Sus scrofa: one gene and its partners. The protein of the gene in region 3 purifies or fractionates together with the protein of the main gene of each other region. This does not show direct contact. Links are inferred from orthologs where the notes say so. Each region holds a gene or a part of one and is shown on either strand. Other genes may lie near its edges. The genes, in order: KRR1, RPL35, GNL2 and SRPK2.

Region 1 (4,100 bases), on a different chromosome or scaffold from region 3:
ACCTTGCTGTTTCTTAAATAGGCTTAATTTGAATGAACTGTTTATGGGTGGGGAATGGAGGCTTCTATTGTGAGTGTAGTCTGGATCAAGGTGGTTGGTGTCAGTTGTGTATCAGTAGCCACTGTAAATGTTCCATGGATAAAAAAGTTCAATGATTTAGTCCACAGTGTTTTCCGCATCATTCATGTGACCATGTGCTGTATGATTGCTCTTGTTTTGAAATCTTAAATTCTATTACCCAATCCTTTTTCTAATATATGAATGTCTCTCATTTTGTTAGCTGTCTTCTGGCACCATTTCCTTTCTAAAATTTCCTTTCCTGTCTTACTCATTACTCTTCTTTCATACTCCCTTTCCTTATATCACACTTGCCCAACAGAACTCTAAGACTTGGATCAGTCCTAGAACTTGACTTTTTTCCTTTAATGTGTCCGCTAAACATAGCTGGAGAGAAGTCCTATCTTTGGACTGTGTCCCTTACAAATTCAGGAGTTCCCATGTGGTGCAGTGGGTTAAGAATACAGTGTTATCGCTGCAGTGGCTTAGATTGCTGCTGTGGTGTGGGTTCAGTTCCTAGCCTGAGAACTTATACATGTAACCACCTCAGCCAAAAAAAACATTTCCAGCCTCAGGTTTTCAGTCTTGTCCAGCAGCTCTCTTCATCCTCTTAATTCTTTAGGCATCCTCCCACTCCTAACATTGCCTTTTATTTTCCTGAAATATTTGAGATCTCCAGGGAAGAACTCTTTCAACTTCCTCTTTTCTCACATTTTTTCCCCCCTCATCTGCATCAGTCCTTTCTTTACCTCTTCTTTGAATTGTCTTCATCTGTCTTCTGAGGGGGATTGTTTCTTTATTCTCTCCCTTGGCAGTATGTTAAAGTCTTCCCTTTCTACTAGTTCTTTGTGCTCAGCATGTAAACCCATCCCTATCTTGTCTTCCCCACAGCCCTGTGTTTGTAGATTTTCAGGGAAGATTTGATGAAAGGTCAAAGATAAAAAAGGAATGGTCATCACAGTAAAAAAACAATGGCAATGTTGGATCATGAGGTCTGCTCTGGAAAAGGAAGAAAGTGAAGCCAAAAGCAAACTTATTTGGGGGAGAGTAGAGTGATCCAGTTTCTAAACCACATGCTTCCATAACACCTGATAGATTTCATATGGTCCTGGCCTGTACTTAGTAGTTACCTTTCTCTTGTATGACCATAAGCTGCTTGAATCAGTGATGTCTCATTTGACTTATTTGCTGTGTAATTATGGACAGTTTATTTAACCTGTCCATGCCTCAGTTTCTCCATATAATGGGGATAATATCTACCGCAAAGAATTGTTAATGAGGATTGAGTTAGTAAATTGTAGAGAACTTGTAAAGAGTTTAGAACAACATTGCCTTAGATATACTAATGCTCTGTATTAAATAGACCAGTTATATGTTAACTGTATATGGAGTGAGTGAGCTATTGCTTTCTCTAATTAGTATTTAATTAGTTGCCACATCCTGGCAGTTACTGCTTTTCATTTTGTATGCCGAAATCTCTATTCCAGGCTTTTATCTCTTCTTTCTTCTTCTGTACCTTTTATAAAATGCTGCTTTGCTCTTTTCACTTCAGGAACCTTCAGTCATTTCTAAATCACATCCCCACCTCCTTTACCTGTCATCCAAGTTTCTTCAAGCTTTCCCAAAACAATCTTTCCAGTTTCCTCTCACACGTTTCTGAATCATTGCCCTTCTACCCTATCTGAAGCAGTCTATTGTGAACTTCATGAACGCATCACCTACTTTCCCTCACACATGCTTTGAGGAATGTAATCCCCCTAAGCTTGAAGTACATTTCCTTCTTTTAGTGTTGCTACCTTACAAAGTAATCAGAGTTTTGACTCTACTGTCTTTTCTTCAAGGTCACTGTGACTTTTTTAGGAATTCTCATCTACATTATTTCTGATATAATTGTATGTATTTATACTGCTTTCAACAGATTGATAAAGAATTGGCTAGTGGTGAATACTTTTTGAAGTCAAGTCAAAAGAAGAGACAGAAAATGGAAGCAATAAAGGTAATTATAATAATAAGCAATAATTGCAAAAGTTCAGAGAAACTTGAATTCTTTAGCCATATAATGTTTTACTAACGTAGTTTTTTTTATTAATGATGTAGGCTAAACAAGCTGAAGCTCTTAGTAAGAGACAAGAGGAAAGAAACAAAGCTTTTATTCCACCTAAAGAGAAACCAGTTGTGAAACCTAAGGAAGGTAATGCTCGTTTTCCAGCTCTTGGTTGATGTAAAAGTCTGTTTATAGGAAAAGTGAACCCATAGTGAATTTGTCTGACTCTCTTTGAGTGGTAAGAAATAACCCTGTCATTAATTCTCAGCATTTCATTAATCACAAACCCTAGGGACAAGAGGTGACTGAGGTCATTTATTGTTTAGTAGCGGCTAGTGCCTATTTAATAGTATCCCAAATTGGCAGTCCCTTCCTGACTTCTGATTATGCTGAGGAAGGACTAAAGATATGAACCAGAGCAGTGAACCTGCTGTAAAAAGTAAAACTATAAGATCCCTGAGCTCTGCTATCATGCCTCTCAAAAAGAGCTTACCTAAAGTAGTGCTTTTGTTTACTTGTGTGACCTCTGGCTTTAAATTTTGATTCTTGTATTGTTAACATGGATTTCTCATCCCCTTAGGTTAAAAGAGCAGGAAGATCTTTCTTATTCAGGGACAACTAAAAGTGACACTCAGATAAAACACTTTTAGTGCCTTTTCTTCTCATTCCCTAGCCTCATTTTGATCTCTCATCTCCTCTTTTGCATTTTCTTTTCCACTAGTAACATTTGTGCTCTTCTGTCAGGTAATTCTCCAAAGTGGTCAGTGGCTCAGAGAGGGTAGGGAGGTCACCAGTAGCATTGCACCAAAGCCAGATGTAAATTACTAAAATAGTAGTGTTATGTCGGTGTTAACAGCTTTAAAAATACTGCATCCTACTCTTTAGATGATTGTTTATATAAAAGTTAAAAACATAAGCATTGTAATTTCTAGTTTGTACAGTCTGTTAGTTATGTAGCTAGTTTAATCTCAGTTTATTACTGATTAGAAGTGTAGCTGTTCTACTGTAGTGGAGGATTAGGCTTTTAAATTTTATCTCAAGTTGCTGGGTCATTTGTATGATGTCATTTTATTTTGTGATTCTTTTATGTCCTGAATACTATTCTTTAAATGCTAAGAGAAAGGTTTTTTTTGTTTTGTTTTGTTTTTTTCCTTCACTGCTTTCTTTCTGTTTTTAAGCTTTTTGGTGGTAGGATGGTTGGGTTCTATTAGGACCTCCAGATGCTCTCAGATTATTACCAAAATCTTACTAAATGAAATGCTACTATTAATTGAACTAATATTTGGAAAACTATTTAAGCTTTTAATATGGTATTAGATGAAGTAGATTTTGACCTATAGTTTCATGATTAGCTAAAAGTACTGAAGCCAGAAGAGTTAAATATATTTAAATTATTTCAGTGGGCAAGAAATGGGAAAGTTTACTTCCCATTTACTTTAATGGGAAAGTTGGCGTATTAAGGAAAAAGTTCCAATATATGGAAAAGAAAATAATCTCAGTTTAAGAGGAAAATGTAATTTTAATATAGTTGCATTGAGTAATTGTTCATATAAATTATGCCATTTTGAAATTTCTAACTTTCAGCAGATGTTTTGTAGTTTTATAACATGACCTTTCAATTACAGCAGTACTCTGATATTAAATCTTGTTACATGTATTTTTAACTTATTTAGCTTCTACTGAAACTAAAATTGATGTGGCCACCATCAAGGAAAAGGTTAAGAAAGCAAAGAGTAAGAAACTGGGAGCTCTTACAGCTGAAGAAGTTAAGCTTAAAATGGAAGCAGATGAAAAGAAAAAGAAGAAAAAAAAGTAGCAAAGACCAAAGGCCGAAACTCCTGAACTAGAATGTATTAAGCTACCTCCTTTTGTAAAGGATTTTGAGATACTAGGGCATTAGTTGCCTATCTGTGAAAGGTAATACACTGATCACATTTTTCTGAGTTTGTTTTGTTCTTGATATAAAGTGTTTACATAAACAGCTATTCTTTATAAATTA
Region 2 (4,600 bases), on a different chromosome or scaffold from region 3:
GCCGCTCCCGCGGCATATGGAGGTTCCCAGGCTAGGGGTCTGAGCAGAGCTGTAGCTGCCAGCCTACACCAGAGCCACAGCAATGTGGGATCTGAGCCGCGTCTGCAACCTACACCACAGCTCACGGCAACGCCGGATCGTTAACCCACTGAGCAAGGGCAGGGATGGAACCTGCAACCTCATGGTTCCTAGTCGGATTCGTTAACCACTGCGCCACGACGGGAACTCCTCAAAGGTTTATTTCTGATCATCTTTTCACTAGAGAGAATCCACCAAGTTCTTTTTTTTTCCCCCTGGGGAACTCCAGGCACACCTCTTTTGATAGACCAAATGCTCTAGTCTTCCAAATGCTCATTTGGGTACTGATGTGAAGCCATTCTTCAAATGTAATCAGAAAAAATCCCACTGAAGACAGCAGCTTCAACCAAATGTTGAGCTCCAGCCTGCCTTTGATATTCTTGTCCTGACAGCAGCCCCCACAATCACACAAGCCAACTCCTTACAGTAAGTCAAACGTATGCATACACATCATGGAAACTCTCCTACTGGTCCCATGTCACTCCTTGAACTCTAATGATACTAGTTTTAAGGACAAGACCAGAAATGGTTGTGGAAATCCTAGGCTGAGCAACACTCAACCCACCCCTCCCTAAGACACTGTTTGGAACCTAGGCCCCATCAATCAACTTATTGTAGTTGACGCTGGGAAATTTAACCTAAGCCTTGAAGTCCCCATTTAAAAAATAATACCAGATGCTGGACAGTGAATGACACTGGGCTAGCAATACAATTAAAACATTTAAACAGTTAATTCTCAAACTCCTTAAACTCATCACACTGGTGAGATTTTATTCAAAACCCCAAGTTTCTGGGAGTTCCCATTGTGGCCCAGCAGACGTGAATCTAGTATCCATGAGCATACGGGCTCAATCCTTGGCCTTACTCAGTGGGTTGGGGATCTGGCGTTGCCATGAGCTGTGGCACAGGCCGGCAGCTGTAGCTCCGATTCCACCTCTAGCCTGGGAACTTCCGTATGCCACAAGTATGGCCCTAAAAAACAAATCGCCCACCACCCCCAAGTTTCTAGCAAGACTCCCACATCTTTGAGTACCTGACAACTGCAGCCCCAAGGAAATGCAGTCTGCTTGCCATATACTAGTCAGAAGGCATACCAAAAAAGCTGAGAAGGCTCTGGAAAGCCCCGTTCTGAGCACCTGTGTAGAGAAGCTTACCAAACTGCTCCGCTGGCCAAAGAAGAGCTGGAATTTTGCTCCTTGTAGCCAAGCACCACCCTCCCTTCCCTACTAACCTTATAGAATTTCCTGAGGTTCTCTTTCTGGGTCTGGTTGATGACGGTGAGAACGCGGGCAATGGATTTGCGAACAACTCGGCTACAAAACAGAGACATCAGTGAAGATGGGGAAGGCACACAGCACTCCCCACCAGCTCCCCCATTTTCATCCATCTCAGGAGGAAGGTGTTCTGGAGGCTAAAGAGACAATACATGGGCATCCCAGGTGTGGGGACAGGGGAATGGCTGACATATCTAGTGCTTTTGCAGAATTGTGAAGTGTTCATTGAGGAGGCTTAATGAGAAGAGGTGGAGGGCAGATCAGGAAAGACATTCCACCCCAGGTCATACATCCTGAAATCTATAAAGAAGACCTAATCAATGTTGATTTGAATGAGCTGACTGGAGGGACTCATGCCACAAGCTGGGCAACCAAGTTCAGTTCAGGGGGTCATAGGAGGAGCCACTTGGGAGGGAAAATGAGACATCTGAGAAACAGAAATGCTAGGGATGGGGTGGATGAGTGGGGAGGCTGAAATGAGGAACAGGCTGGATAAGCGAATTTTTAATCATGTTGAATATGAGGCATGTAGCAGGATGAGGGCCACTCAGTTAACGGTAAACCGCTCTTGAGGATCCACAGAAGTTGCTTGCACACTAACATAAGAAAATTACTGGGGACCCATTTTATAGAAAGGGAAAAAACCCTTAGTGATCAGGCAACCTGTCCAGAAGGTTAGATGTGGCAGAAGCAGAATTTTTATGCCCAAGTTGACTAACTCCAAACCCATGTTCCTTTCACGAGGCTTGGTTTTTGCTCCACATACAGCAGCTACACTACAACTCAAGTAAGAGGTGCAACCAAGTGAGGAGAGATAAGACAAAAATCAAGTGCTGGTAGGAGGTAGGAGAATGGGCTCCAGTTAGATATTCGGAGGCAGCATTAAAACAGGTCTTCAGGGACAGCCAGTTCTTTCCCCAGCCAGACAGGCCCAAGGAGGTGTCAGGCAAAAGGACCACAGGGTCAAATGCAGGTAAAGGCAGCGGGTCTCCAGGCGCCTCGGCCTGAGCAAGGGGAGCCGGGAGAGGATGGCTAGAAAGGGCGTGATGTTCCCACCCACAGATCCATGCAATAGGCACTTAAAACGCTCCCAATGCTTTTGTATCCCCCACACCCAGAGGGCCGTGGTCTGAACATCCGTCACTTACATCTTGGAGAGTTTGGAAGCCGCCCCGCCTGTCACTTTCGCGACGCGCAGTTGGGACAGCTCCACCTTCAGGTCCTCCAGTTGTTTCAGCAGCTCCTCCTTCTTCTTGCCCCGAAGGTCTCGAGCCTTAATCTTGGCCTGCGCGCAAGAAAGAGTAAAGTCTGGTCAAACACCTGCAGGGCCGTCTGCCCCACGGCCGCTTACCGAGGCCTCCACCTCCCGTCCTCCCCTCCTCCCGCGTCGTGATCAGCCCCTCGGGGCGCGCGCCTCGCACTGGGCCAAGGGTGCGCTGGAGGGCCTGCACGACCGCGCCTTGGGCAGGGCAACCCAGGCTCCAGCAGACGCGGTCTCGCCCAGGCCTGCTTCGAGACGGGCTGCCACCCCTATTCCGCAGAAGGAAAGACAGAGGCCCAGGCAACGAGCACCTCTCCGGGCCCAGGCCTCTGGTGGAAGGCGAGAAGCCGGCTGGGGCGATGCTAGGCCATTCCGCACAGCGTCCCACAGGCCAGGCTGGCAGATGAGCTCCCAGGACTCGCCTCGCGGCCCCCACCCCAGCCCCCGAGCCCCACAACGCGCAGATGGCACCCGATACCCCGGCCCTCACCATGGCTGTGCAAGCTGCCGCCGCCGCCTTCTTGGAGGGAAAGAGGAAGAGGCGGGGCTGACCTCGGCAACTACTGCCGGGTAGCGGTGGGCGTGGCCAGTGGCTCCGCGGCCGGGGAGCTCCAGCTCCTCCCTGCTACTTCCAGCCCTACTGGCGCGCCGCGAGTAATGAGTGGTAAAGTTAGTCCAGCTCTGCTCCGGGGAGCCGGAGCCCCGCCCAGCAGTGCTCGCCTCTTCCTTAGATTTGGTCTAATGCCCTGAGCAACGCAGTGGGGTAAGCGAGGCCTGGGGTGAGGGGCAATTTGCCAGAGATGGCAGAGTGAAGACGGATTCATTTATTTCTTCATTCATTCATTCGGTAAATCTTTGCTGATCGCCCAGTCTGCACTACTTCCAGCTAGGAACCAGTGTTCCGGAATATAGGGGATGAAGGTTGGGGTTTTCAAAGATGAATTAACATGGCCCCCCTCCCTTGAGGGAACTTGAACTTCAAGGTGGGCGGGGAGGACCGGGGTCAGACAGGTATAATCCAACTGCATAAATATTCTAGTGGAGGCAGCCAGTGGTAAGGTCAAGAGCAGTCATGGCTTTTTTAGTGAACCTGACCCGGTTTCAAATTCTTACTCTGTTGCTTGGAGCTAGCTGAGACTCTAGGCAAATCAAATCCCTTCCCCTGAGTGTCAGTTTTCTCACCTGTGAAGTGTGGTATTTGTGAGGATCAGGAAAATGACATGTAAAACTCTAGTCCAAGACCTGATGTGTAACAATTGCTCAAAGTATTATCCATATTAATGCTCCCAGTTTAATGAACACTTGAGGGGGCCCTGAAAGCTAAAGGGAAGGGAAAGTGATCAAGCTTTCTAACTGGACAGTTTTATCGTTGCTCCAACCAGCAAATGTGTATCAGTCAGTGCTCTAGTGTCACTCTACTGCCCTTAACAAAGACTCATCCGCATGTCTTAGAGCTCTCATTAAAGCCAGGTTGCCCCCTGTTGCTGTCAGGTGTCACCTCCAGGGAGCCTCTGCTTGTGTCTGAAGCTTTCTGTGCAATCCTCTCTTTAGCTCCAAACACACTGAATTAAAATGAAAGTTATGTGTTTATCTCCACAGCCAGCCTGGAAGTTAGTTCCCCAAGGGCAGAACCATGGCGAACACCTGGTTTATTTTTTCTAGACTCCAGGCCCAGCACATGAATACTTGTTGGATGAATTGAATTAAGAAGCATTGCCTCAGACCACAATGAGGCAAGACTTCCAGGAAGTGGAGGGAACTAGGGAAGAGAGGGCAGAGGACAGTGCTGGTAAGGATTAGTTTTACATGGAAGTTGAATGGTGCACAGGAACTTGGCTGTCCTGTTTTTCTAAATGCTTATAGTTCTGTTAATGATTGTGTACATCTTTTTGGAACTTGAAGCCATCTATGACTACTGTTTGTTATATGCCACATCCAATCCATTTCCAAATTCTACAGCCTTTATCTTCAAAATACCCAAACTTAT
Region 3 (4,100 bases):
ACACACACACACACACACACACACACACACACACACACACGAAGGGAAAAAAAAAAAAAAAGTCAAACACTGAAGTCATAAACAGGCTTCTACACTTCTCCATGCTCCATTCCCATGCCACTCCCACAACAACTGGAGCAGGGTCGAGGGAGGGTTCACCTCACAGACCCAAGCCTGCGCTTCTACTGCAACTGTGACAACTCCAAGTTACCATCCTTTGGTCCAACCCTCATCTAATGCTCGAATCTTTTCTCCTGCCCTCCTGACAAGCGGCTCCCTGGTCTGAGGCTGAATGCTCTGATGATAAGCTCTCTACCGCCCAAGAGGGCCCTTGCAGCTCGAGAGAGCCTGGTTAGAGGGATGAACTTCACAGAAGGCAGGGACCTGTCTTTCTACACAGCTCTGTTCACCATGAATCACTTCTCATAAACCCAACTGACTCTTCCAAATGAGAGGCCGCACACTTGAGATCAGCGATCAGAAATTCCTCAAACATACGACCCAAACTCAGGGGTCAACTCTTTGATTTTGTTTCACTGATCTCAACTGGGTCACTTAGGACTGGGTTTTTTTTTTTTTTGTTTTTTGTTTTTTAGCTATTTCTTGGGCTGCTCCCGCGGCATAGGGAGGTTCCCAGGCTAGGGGTTGAATCCGAGCTGTAGCCACCAGCCTACGCCAGAGCCACAGCAACGCGGGATCCGAGCCGCGTCTGCGACCTACACCACAGCTCACAGCAACGCCGGATCGTTAACCCACTGAGCAAGGGCAGGGACCAAACCCGCAACCTCATGGTTCCTAGTTGGATTCGTTAACCACTGCGCCACGACTAGAACTCCCAGGACTGGGGTTCTTTGATTTCAACTCTAGACAGTTTCAGAAAGACTGAGTTAAAAAAATCGCCTTCTCCTCTCTGCTCTATGCCTAAGACAAAAACACGTACTTCCTTAGATGTAAGCATCCTGCGAGTTTTGTCTGAATGCTCTTCTTCCCTCTGTGCCTTCCTCTTCTTTCCCTTTTTGGTAGGTGCTAGGAACAATACATGAACACACACAAGAAAGAAAAAGGAATTTTTTATTCAAAATGTGTCTGTAAACCCTAAGGTGGGAATGAGCTCGATATGCTAGAGAAAAAGGCAGAAGGCAGTGGGACCGGAGTATGGTGAGTACAGCGGAGCAGGAGGCTGGGAGGCTGCCAGCCCCCGAGGACCTCGCAGGCCTCTGCAGGGTTTGCATTTGTGTCACGAAAACACACTCTTGATATGGAAGCTGTCAGTCCAACCAAGTTAAGAAAAAAAATACATGAACCCCAATCTGCTCCCTACCCCAGCTGAAAAAAATGTGTCTCTGGACCTACCCTTAGATTACAAGGTTAATGTACTCTTTTTTATTTTTATTTTTTGGTCTTTCTAGGGCTGCACTTGGGGCTTGTGGAGGTTCCCAGGCCAGGGGTCAAATTGGAGCTACAGCTGTGGGTCTACACCACAGCCACAGCACAATTCGGGGATCTGAGCCGTGTCTGCAACCTACACCACAGCTCATGGCAACGCTAGATCCTTAACCCCCTGAGTGAGGCCAGGAATCGAACCCACATCTTCATGGACACTAGTTGGGTTTGTTAACTGCTGAGCCACAAAGGGAACTCCTAATGTACTCTTTTTAGAGGAATTTTCCTGAACTGCCATTTAATTCCCAAGAAATGTGCAGAATAAAAAGCACAGGTGTGATAAATAGTACGTGGAACCGGGGTGATAGGCCAGATATGCTCAACATCTGTGTGGATGACAGTATAAGAAACAAAGAGGAGATTAAACTTGGGTCCCCAGTTCTAAAGATGCAGATCCCATCCACATGACTTAAATAATTCAACTATACCTGTATCTTCTACATCTTCTTCAACTGCTTTTTGTTGCTCAGGTTTTGCAAAAACCTTCTCACTCAGTCCCTTGGATATTCTGAAAAGGAGAGCAGAGTCACAAAGCTGTCCAGCAATCCCCTCTGCTGCTCATGTCACGTGCCCACATGGAGACGGTGACAAGCTCGCAGATCAAAGAGACTCTGCTCCTCTTCACGGAGTTCACACCACTGGTGGAAGCACCTCCGAAGTTTTTGCAGGCCCTGGGCACTTGTAAAAGAGAGAACTACTGAGCCTCTCACACTGCAGGTTGCTGAATTTTAAAAACGCACAGAATACTTTTTAAACATGGCAAGCGCGCCCCCACCTCCCATACCGCTGCAATCCTCAGGGCAAGGTTCTGGGAACACAAGGAGCAGCCTGCCACTTGTGCCCATGAGAACCCTACCTGACCGCCGAGAACTTCTTTGCTTTGGCTTTGTCTAAAAACCTCTGGTACTTGGCAATCTTCTCATCCAGGGCTTGAATGACGGCCTTGGTGCTGCTCCCCGTGTGTTCTTCCTGGGCTTCTGTGAAAGGCTCTTCGTCAGTGTCTTCTTGGGGCTCCTGTTCCTCCTCCTCCTCCCTCTCCCCAGAGAGGCTCTCCAGCTCTTCCTCGATATCGGACATCTCCAGGGGAACCAGGTCGTCCCCCGAAAACTGAGGCACGACATTGATCTTGCCGAAGTTCTGCCGGACCCGCGCAAGGATCTGTTGCATTTCTGCGTCAGCGCCGCACTGGCCAGGCTCCTCTTCCTTCTTCTCAAGGCCGGGTTCTGACCCTCCACCTCCAGATTCTGGGGTTTCCTCTTCTGTGTTGTTCTGGGCTGTTTCTGGGGCAACTTCCAAAGTCGAGGCGGACGGAAGCTACTTAGGCCAAAAAGGGGTGGGAGCACGGGGAGAAACGGAGTCAGAAAACAAAACCCGAATGTCTGAACTTACACACTTTGCTCTTAAATGAGGTAGTTCTCCTCTCAGGCCCAAGGGAAAGGATGGAAAACGCCGGCATCTGAGTCATCCTGTTAGATCTATTCTGAGCCAACATACATTAAACCCTGAGCCCAGCACTGAAGGGTCAGAGGAACACAGCTGGGGTCCCAAAGAATGCACCAACCCCAAGAGTATTTCACCATCAACACCAACCAACGACACCCTGCAGGAGGCGAGATTCCCTATGTCCCCGAGGATCGCGAGGAATGGGGTTGCCAAGGAAAGCACAGCCAGGCTGAGTACACCCCACAGGCTGAGGGTAGGCACTGAGGCGGCACTGGGAAGGGAGGGTGTGAAGGAGGGGCCGTCCCGGGAGGACTGAGAATGAGCCCTGAGGTGGGAACGGGTAAGAAAGAGGCTGAGAGCTGGGGCCTCCCCTTCAGGGAAGGGTGAGCAGGCCTGGCACTGCGGCTTCACATAGGCAATATTCTCATAATATTAATATTACGAGAATATTATGAATATTCTTATAATATTAATATTACGAGAATATTATGAATATTCTTCCCCATTGTATTCTCGTAACTGAGACTCACAGAACTCAAGGAATTTTTCCCCAAGGTGGGGTGGCTGCTCAAAGCACTGAATGCATAAGGAAGCCATGAAACTCAGGAGATTGCACACACAGTTCGTGTGCGCCTTGTCATCCATTTCGCGGGCAGAAGCTGGTAGTGATAGCTTTCGGATGCTCGAGGGGGTTTCTGCCACCACCAAGAGCAAAAGGCAAGAGTCACAGAGTGGGGGAGCTAGTCACCTAACCCCAATGACTAGACACACAGCAAGAGTTAGAGAAAACTCTGCCGCTTCCACACAGCGTCACAAGGGAGCAGAGATGGGCCTCCTCAGACCCAGAGGCTTCCGCCGTCACTCGGTGCTCCCGAGCCCGCCAGGGGGCGGCCCCATGACTTCTTCTAGAACCAGACAGGTCAGACTGGCTCCACCTCAGGTGCACTGGGTCCACTGCTCCTGATGCCTGGAACACTCTCCCCTCCGCATCTATGTGGCTCCTGCCTCAGATCACTAAGGTCTCCGCTGCAAGGTCACTTCCTTCTCAGAGGCCGTCCTGACCACCCCGCTTACAAAAGCCCTCCTTTGCCCCCCATAAATCCTTCGCCCTGTCTTAGTTGCCCTCACAGCAATCGGTATTTCCTGACACTATACGCTTATTTGTTTACTACCTGTCTCCCTGCAGTATAAATAAAAATAAGTATTTGATGGCC
Region 4 (4,100 bases), on a different chromosome or scaffold from region 3:
GAGCCCATGCTACACTTGGTATTACTAAACCCTTTCACTGTTTACTCCATCGATAAAGACGACATCGGAACACTGATTTTAATATATGTATGTTTATAAAGTTTACATACTACTGTTTCTATCTATTATGTACACTATAAAATTTTTTTATATTAATAAGCAACAATTACTTGGAGACACAACTGACTCTAGCCTGGGGCACATGGTTCTGAAAGGGCAAGGAAGCACTTAACGAATAACAGGTTTCGTCAAAAGGACTTAAGACCCAACCTGAAGAAGTTGACAAATTATTAGGGATAATTCTAGCATTAAAAAAAAAAGCTGTAAACAATGATAACACACAACCCAATGTGTTAATTAAAAAGAAAAATGTGTCTGTGATATGAAGGAATGTGTGATGCGTCTAGAAAGAGCATGGAAGCCTGGCCCCTTCCCACACACCATGCGCTATGCATACTGACAACCTAGCAAGTAAACTGTTTTCCTGAGTTCTGTGAGCCGCTCTAATAAATTAATCCAATCCAGGATAGAGTCATGGAAATCTCTGATTTATAATAGATCATTCAGATGCACAGGTGACAATGTGGACTTGTGACTGATGCATGGGAAGGGACAGTCTTGTGGGAATGAGCCCTTAACCCTGGACTCTGATGCTATCTCCAAGAAGTGTCAGACTTCACTTAAACTGCAGGACACCAAGCTAGTATCAGAGAATTGTTAGCACGGTAACCAGAAGCATCAGCAGTAGTTTGGAAATAGAATGAGAGCAAAGGAGACAGAGAAGTGAGTTTTTCCTTAGATGAAGCTACATTCTTCATGAAAGCATTTTATTAAGAAGCACCTTCAAAGAGCCTCTGGTTGTGGTAAAGGTGAACAGGAGCAGAATACGTCAATTCAAGTTAAAAAAAAAAAAAAAAGAAATAAAACCACATCCTTAAGATGATTAGTTAAGACCAATGAGTACCAGAAATGGCTCTGTAGCTCTCTCGCTTGCTGGAAAGAAAGGACCTGCAGAATATCTTGGGCTATGTGCTGAGCTGGCTGATCAACTGGCTCTTCATGTGTTAAACACTCTTGTCAGCAGAGGGAGCAGAGGAGGTTTCTGAGCTTTTCCACAGTGGGCCAGAAAGGAAACTAACCATGACACCCATGTTCGCCGACTGAAGTCCTATAGCATACCACAGTCAGAGATATGTCATGTAGCATTCACTCTCAAAATCAAGGTTTGATATAGGTCACCAACACATTTAAACCCATGCCACTTTCTTTAAAATTTCAATGGGATAGTCCTATAATTAAGGACAACTTACAGAATAAACTAGGGCACTTCTTCCTCAATACAGATAAAGAGCAGGCACAACATTTTTGTTTGAATAGAAATGAAACAAAAACAAAAAACCAAACATAGCACTATGAGATGGAAGCACAAATTATGTATTAAACTACACATGCTTGAAAGCTACAGGTGTAAGATGCTAGACTTGGAAGGTTTCTGCACATGTATGATGTCACTAAAGACAGGAAGGAAGAAAACTCAGAAATGGGATCTGATACACAGAGAGCAAGAGAAAGCCTAGTGGCACAAAATTTATTTTAAACTACATTAACTTACTCATGAGTACAAAAGTAATAAAATGGTCACTATGCTGGAGAGAAGAAATTGAGTCAACACTATAAATCAACTGTACCCTAGTAAATTTTTAATTAAAGTTTTTTTTTAATTTCAAAAAAAAGAGGAAAATGGTTAATGCATACAGACGCAGCTATTTACCACTTCCAACCAACTCCTTTCATAGCAATTGTCAAGAGTATGACACTTGGGCCACTGAAAGCAGACACCCAGTGGAAAGGGACACTTACTTTTCGGCAAATCCCCAGTGCTGGAGGCTGAAACCGTCCTACTTCTGTCATGGGATGGGCTGCTTTCCTCCTGCTCGGTGAGTGGAGATCCCTCAGAAAGTGCAGAGCCACAAGCCACAGGTTCTAAAGGCCCAGAGAACAATGACGTGGAAAACTCTGGAAACTGTGACTCAGGAATTTTATGTCGTCCATTTGGCAATTCACCATTGAATTGTTCGTAGGAGCTGCTATATGTGTAATCACTCTCTGCGTTTGGCTCATCAAGGTTATATTCCTCAGGATTCGGGCAATCTTCCTCCTCTTCATCTTCATCATCCAGTTGTTGTTCGAGTAAAAATGGGCCATTCTCAATATGACCATTGGTTTTGGGTGATTCTATCCAAGTAGGGTCGATGTTTGCGAGTTCCTGTTCCACATCATCTTCATCCTTCTCTGTGTTTTCTTTCTCAGTGTCCTCTTTCTCTTCCTGGTCCTCAGCTTCACCTTAAAAAGTTAAAGGGTAAGAATCAGAACATGTCACTCTCCTAAACAGAGTGCACTCAGCACTTATCTCCTCCAGCAAGAGACACATCTGAATGTGCCAACTTCAGGTCCTACAGAGCAAACACCTCCTGGCTCTCAGGGAAAATCTTTAGGTTTTCTAAATCTTATTTTTTATTTATTAAATACCTGGCCTACACTTATGAGAAAAAGTCAGCAGCTCTTAGGCAAAATAAGTATATAAACAGAACTGTATTTTTATCTTCTTCAGAAAAGGTCTCAGAGTGCATTATTGTTAAAACTTAATTACAAGATGAAGAACAATCACTAGCATGATAAAGACATAAGTGATGTTCCTCAGAGGGTTTCCAGCTGGGTTATTATTTGTTTGTTTGTTTGTTTTGCTTTTTAAGGCCTCACCCGTGGCATATGGAGGTTCCCAGGCCAGGTATAATCGGAGCTACAGCTGCCGGCCTACACCACAGCCACAGCAATGCCAGATCAGAGCCGAGTCTGCAACCTACACCACAGCTCACGGCAACACCGGATCCTTAACCCACTGAGAGAGAGGCCAGGGATCGAATCCGCATCCTCATGGATCCTAGTCGAGTTTGTTAACTGCTAAGCCACGGAGGGAACTCCACCTTGCTGTTTTTTAAAAAAATATTTAGAAATATTAACATATTCCTTGTATACATTTTACAAATCAAATACCAGCCAGTTCTCCCACGTCCTCCAATCAGGAGGTGAAGAGGGTTGTCCTCATGTCTGAAGCAGCAGCAGTGGCACTAAGTCACCCTATGTGTGACCTGGGGGGTCCCTGCTATTAGAGTTCCAGATTGCACTGACCGTTGTTATTCGAAGTCTCTCCCTCTGCTGCCTCCTCTATTTCTGCTGTTTTTAGTTTCACCTCTGGGTGATATTCATCATCTTGCTCATTGGAAGGTACAGAAGATGTGACGTTTTCTTCTATTATTTTCCTTTCAGCTTCTCGTTCCAATTCTTCTATTTCCTGCAGGCGCTTTTCCAATAACTCAGCCTGCCTTTTCTGCTTCTTTTTCAGCTTTTTCTTTTTGTTTTTAGATATTTTTCCTATCTACAACATGTTAAGAAAATACCACCGGTCAGTTTGCTTCTTTTTAAGGCACTATTCAATAGTGTAATTGTTGGAAGCATGACAAATACCAACACAGTCTGTTTTTTTCTCAGGCTGTATTCAATTAAAATCACATGCCCAGACGTGAGACCCACGGCATGTTTAGGGTTACCACAAAACCAGAAAAAAAGAAACAGTAAATCAAGTCACAGGACCACTACCTGCTCCTGTCCTTGGAGGGATACAGCTTAAACCCAACAAGTCTTTTTAAACTCAAGAAGAACTAAATATGCCCAGATACTCTTGCCTTTGAACAAGAAGCACTTCTTGCAAGTTTTACTTGCTCTGCCTGTCCACAAAGTAACAACATCGCCTCTCCCAACTTCCTCAACTGTCTGCCAAAAAAGAAATCTCTGCCAAAACAGGTGTACTTCATTCATTGTTGGTCAACAGCACTGTTTGTGTTTGGGTCTCACACAATGAGCTGCTATCAGCTGCCAAGACTGCAGGAACTATAAAAAATGAGCATACGGAGGGGAAAAAAGAAAAAGCCTCGGTTTCAGTCTGCCTCCAATCATGGCCATCTGACTTGGAAAGTACTGGCAATGAGAACCTCCAGTCTCTCACAGAATCAATCATCCAAACAAGCTGCTCAAGCCCCAGC

The links.
Region 1: the proteins of GNL2 (region 3) and KRR1 purify together in Homo sapiens (affinity purification with mass spectrometry; 3 studies listed by BioGRID and IntAct, with this or other methods). This does not show direct contact. The link is inferred for Sus scrofa from reciprocal best matches to the Homo sapiens genes GNL2 and KRR1.
Region 2: the proteins of GNL2 (region 3) and RPL35 purify together in Homo sapiens (affinity purification with mass spectrometry; 3 studies listed by BioGRID and IntAct, with this or other methods). This does not show direct contact. The link is inferred for Sus scrofa from reciprocal best matches to the Homo sapiens genes GNL2 and RPL35.
Region 4: the proteins of GNL2 (region 3) and SRPK2 purify together in Homo sapiens (affinity purification with mass spectrometry; 3 studies listed by BioGRID and IntAct, with this or other methods). This does not show direct contact. The link is inferred for Sus scrofa from reciprocal best matches to the Homo sapiens genes GNL2 and SRPK2.

The regions. Positions count from the first base shown.
Region 1 is NC_010447.5:38,811,358-38,815,457, reverse strand, and holds part of KRR1 (KRR1 small subunit processome component homolog), read left to right. Parts: intron 1-1,975; coding exon 1,976-2,053; intron 2,054-2,154; coding exon 2,155-2,248; intron 2,249-3,600; exon of another isoform or gene 3,601-3,774; coding exon 3,775-3,917; 3' UTR 3,918-4,100. UniProt on the Homo sapiens protein: Part of the small subunit (SSU) processome, first precursor of the small eukaryotic ribosomal subunit.
Region 2 is NC_010443.5:265,639,149-265,643,748, forward strand, and holds the start of RPL35 (60S ribosomal protein L35), read right to left. Parts: upstream 3,131-4,600; 5' UTR 3,107-3,130; coding exon 3,104-3,106; intron 2,638-3,103; coding exon 2,501-2,637; intron 1,392-2,500; coding exon 1,310-1,391; intron 1-1,309.
Region 3 is NC_010448.4:93,621,657-93,625,756, forward strand, and holds part of GNL2 (nucleolar GTP-binding protein 2), read right to left. Parts: intron 2,758-4,100; coding exon 2,300-2,757; intron 1,952-2,299; coding exon 1,872-1,951; intron 1,027-1,871; coding exon 941-1,026; intron 1-940. UniProt on the Homo sapiens protein: GTPase that associates with pre-60S ribosomal subunits in the nucleolus and is required for their nuclear export and maturation.
Region 4 is NC_010451.4:105,034,081-105,038,180, forward strand, and holds part of SRPK2 (SRSF protein kinase 2), read right to left. Parts: intron 3,437-4,100; coding exon 3,190-3,436; intron 2,344-3,189; coding exon 1,861-2,343; intron 1-1,860. UniProt on the Homo sapiens protein: Serine/arginine-rich protein-specific kinase which specifically phosphorylates its substrates at serine residues located in regions rich in arginine/serine dipeptides, known as RS domains and is involved in the phosphorylation of SR splicing factors and the regulation of splicing.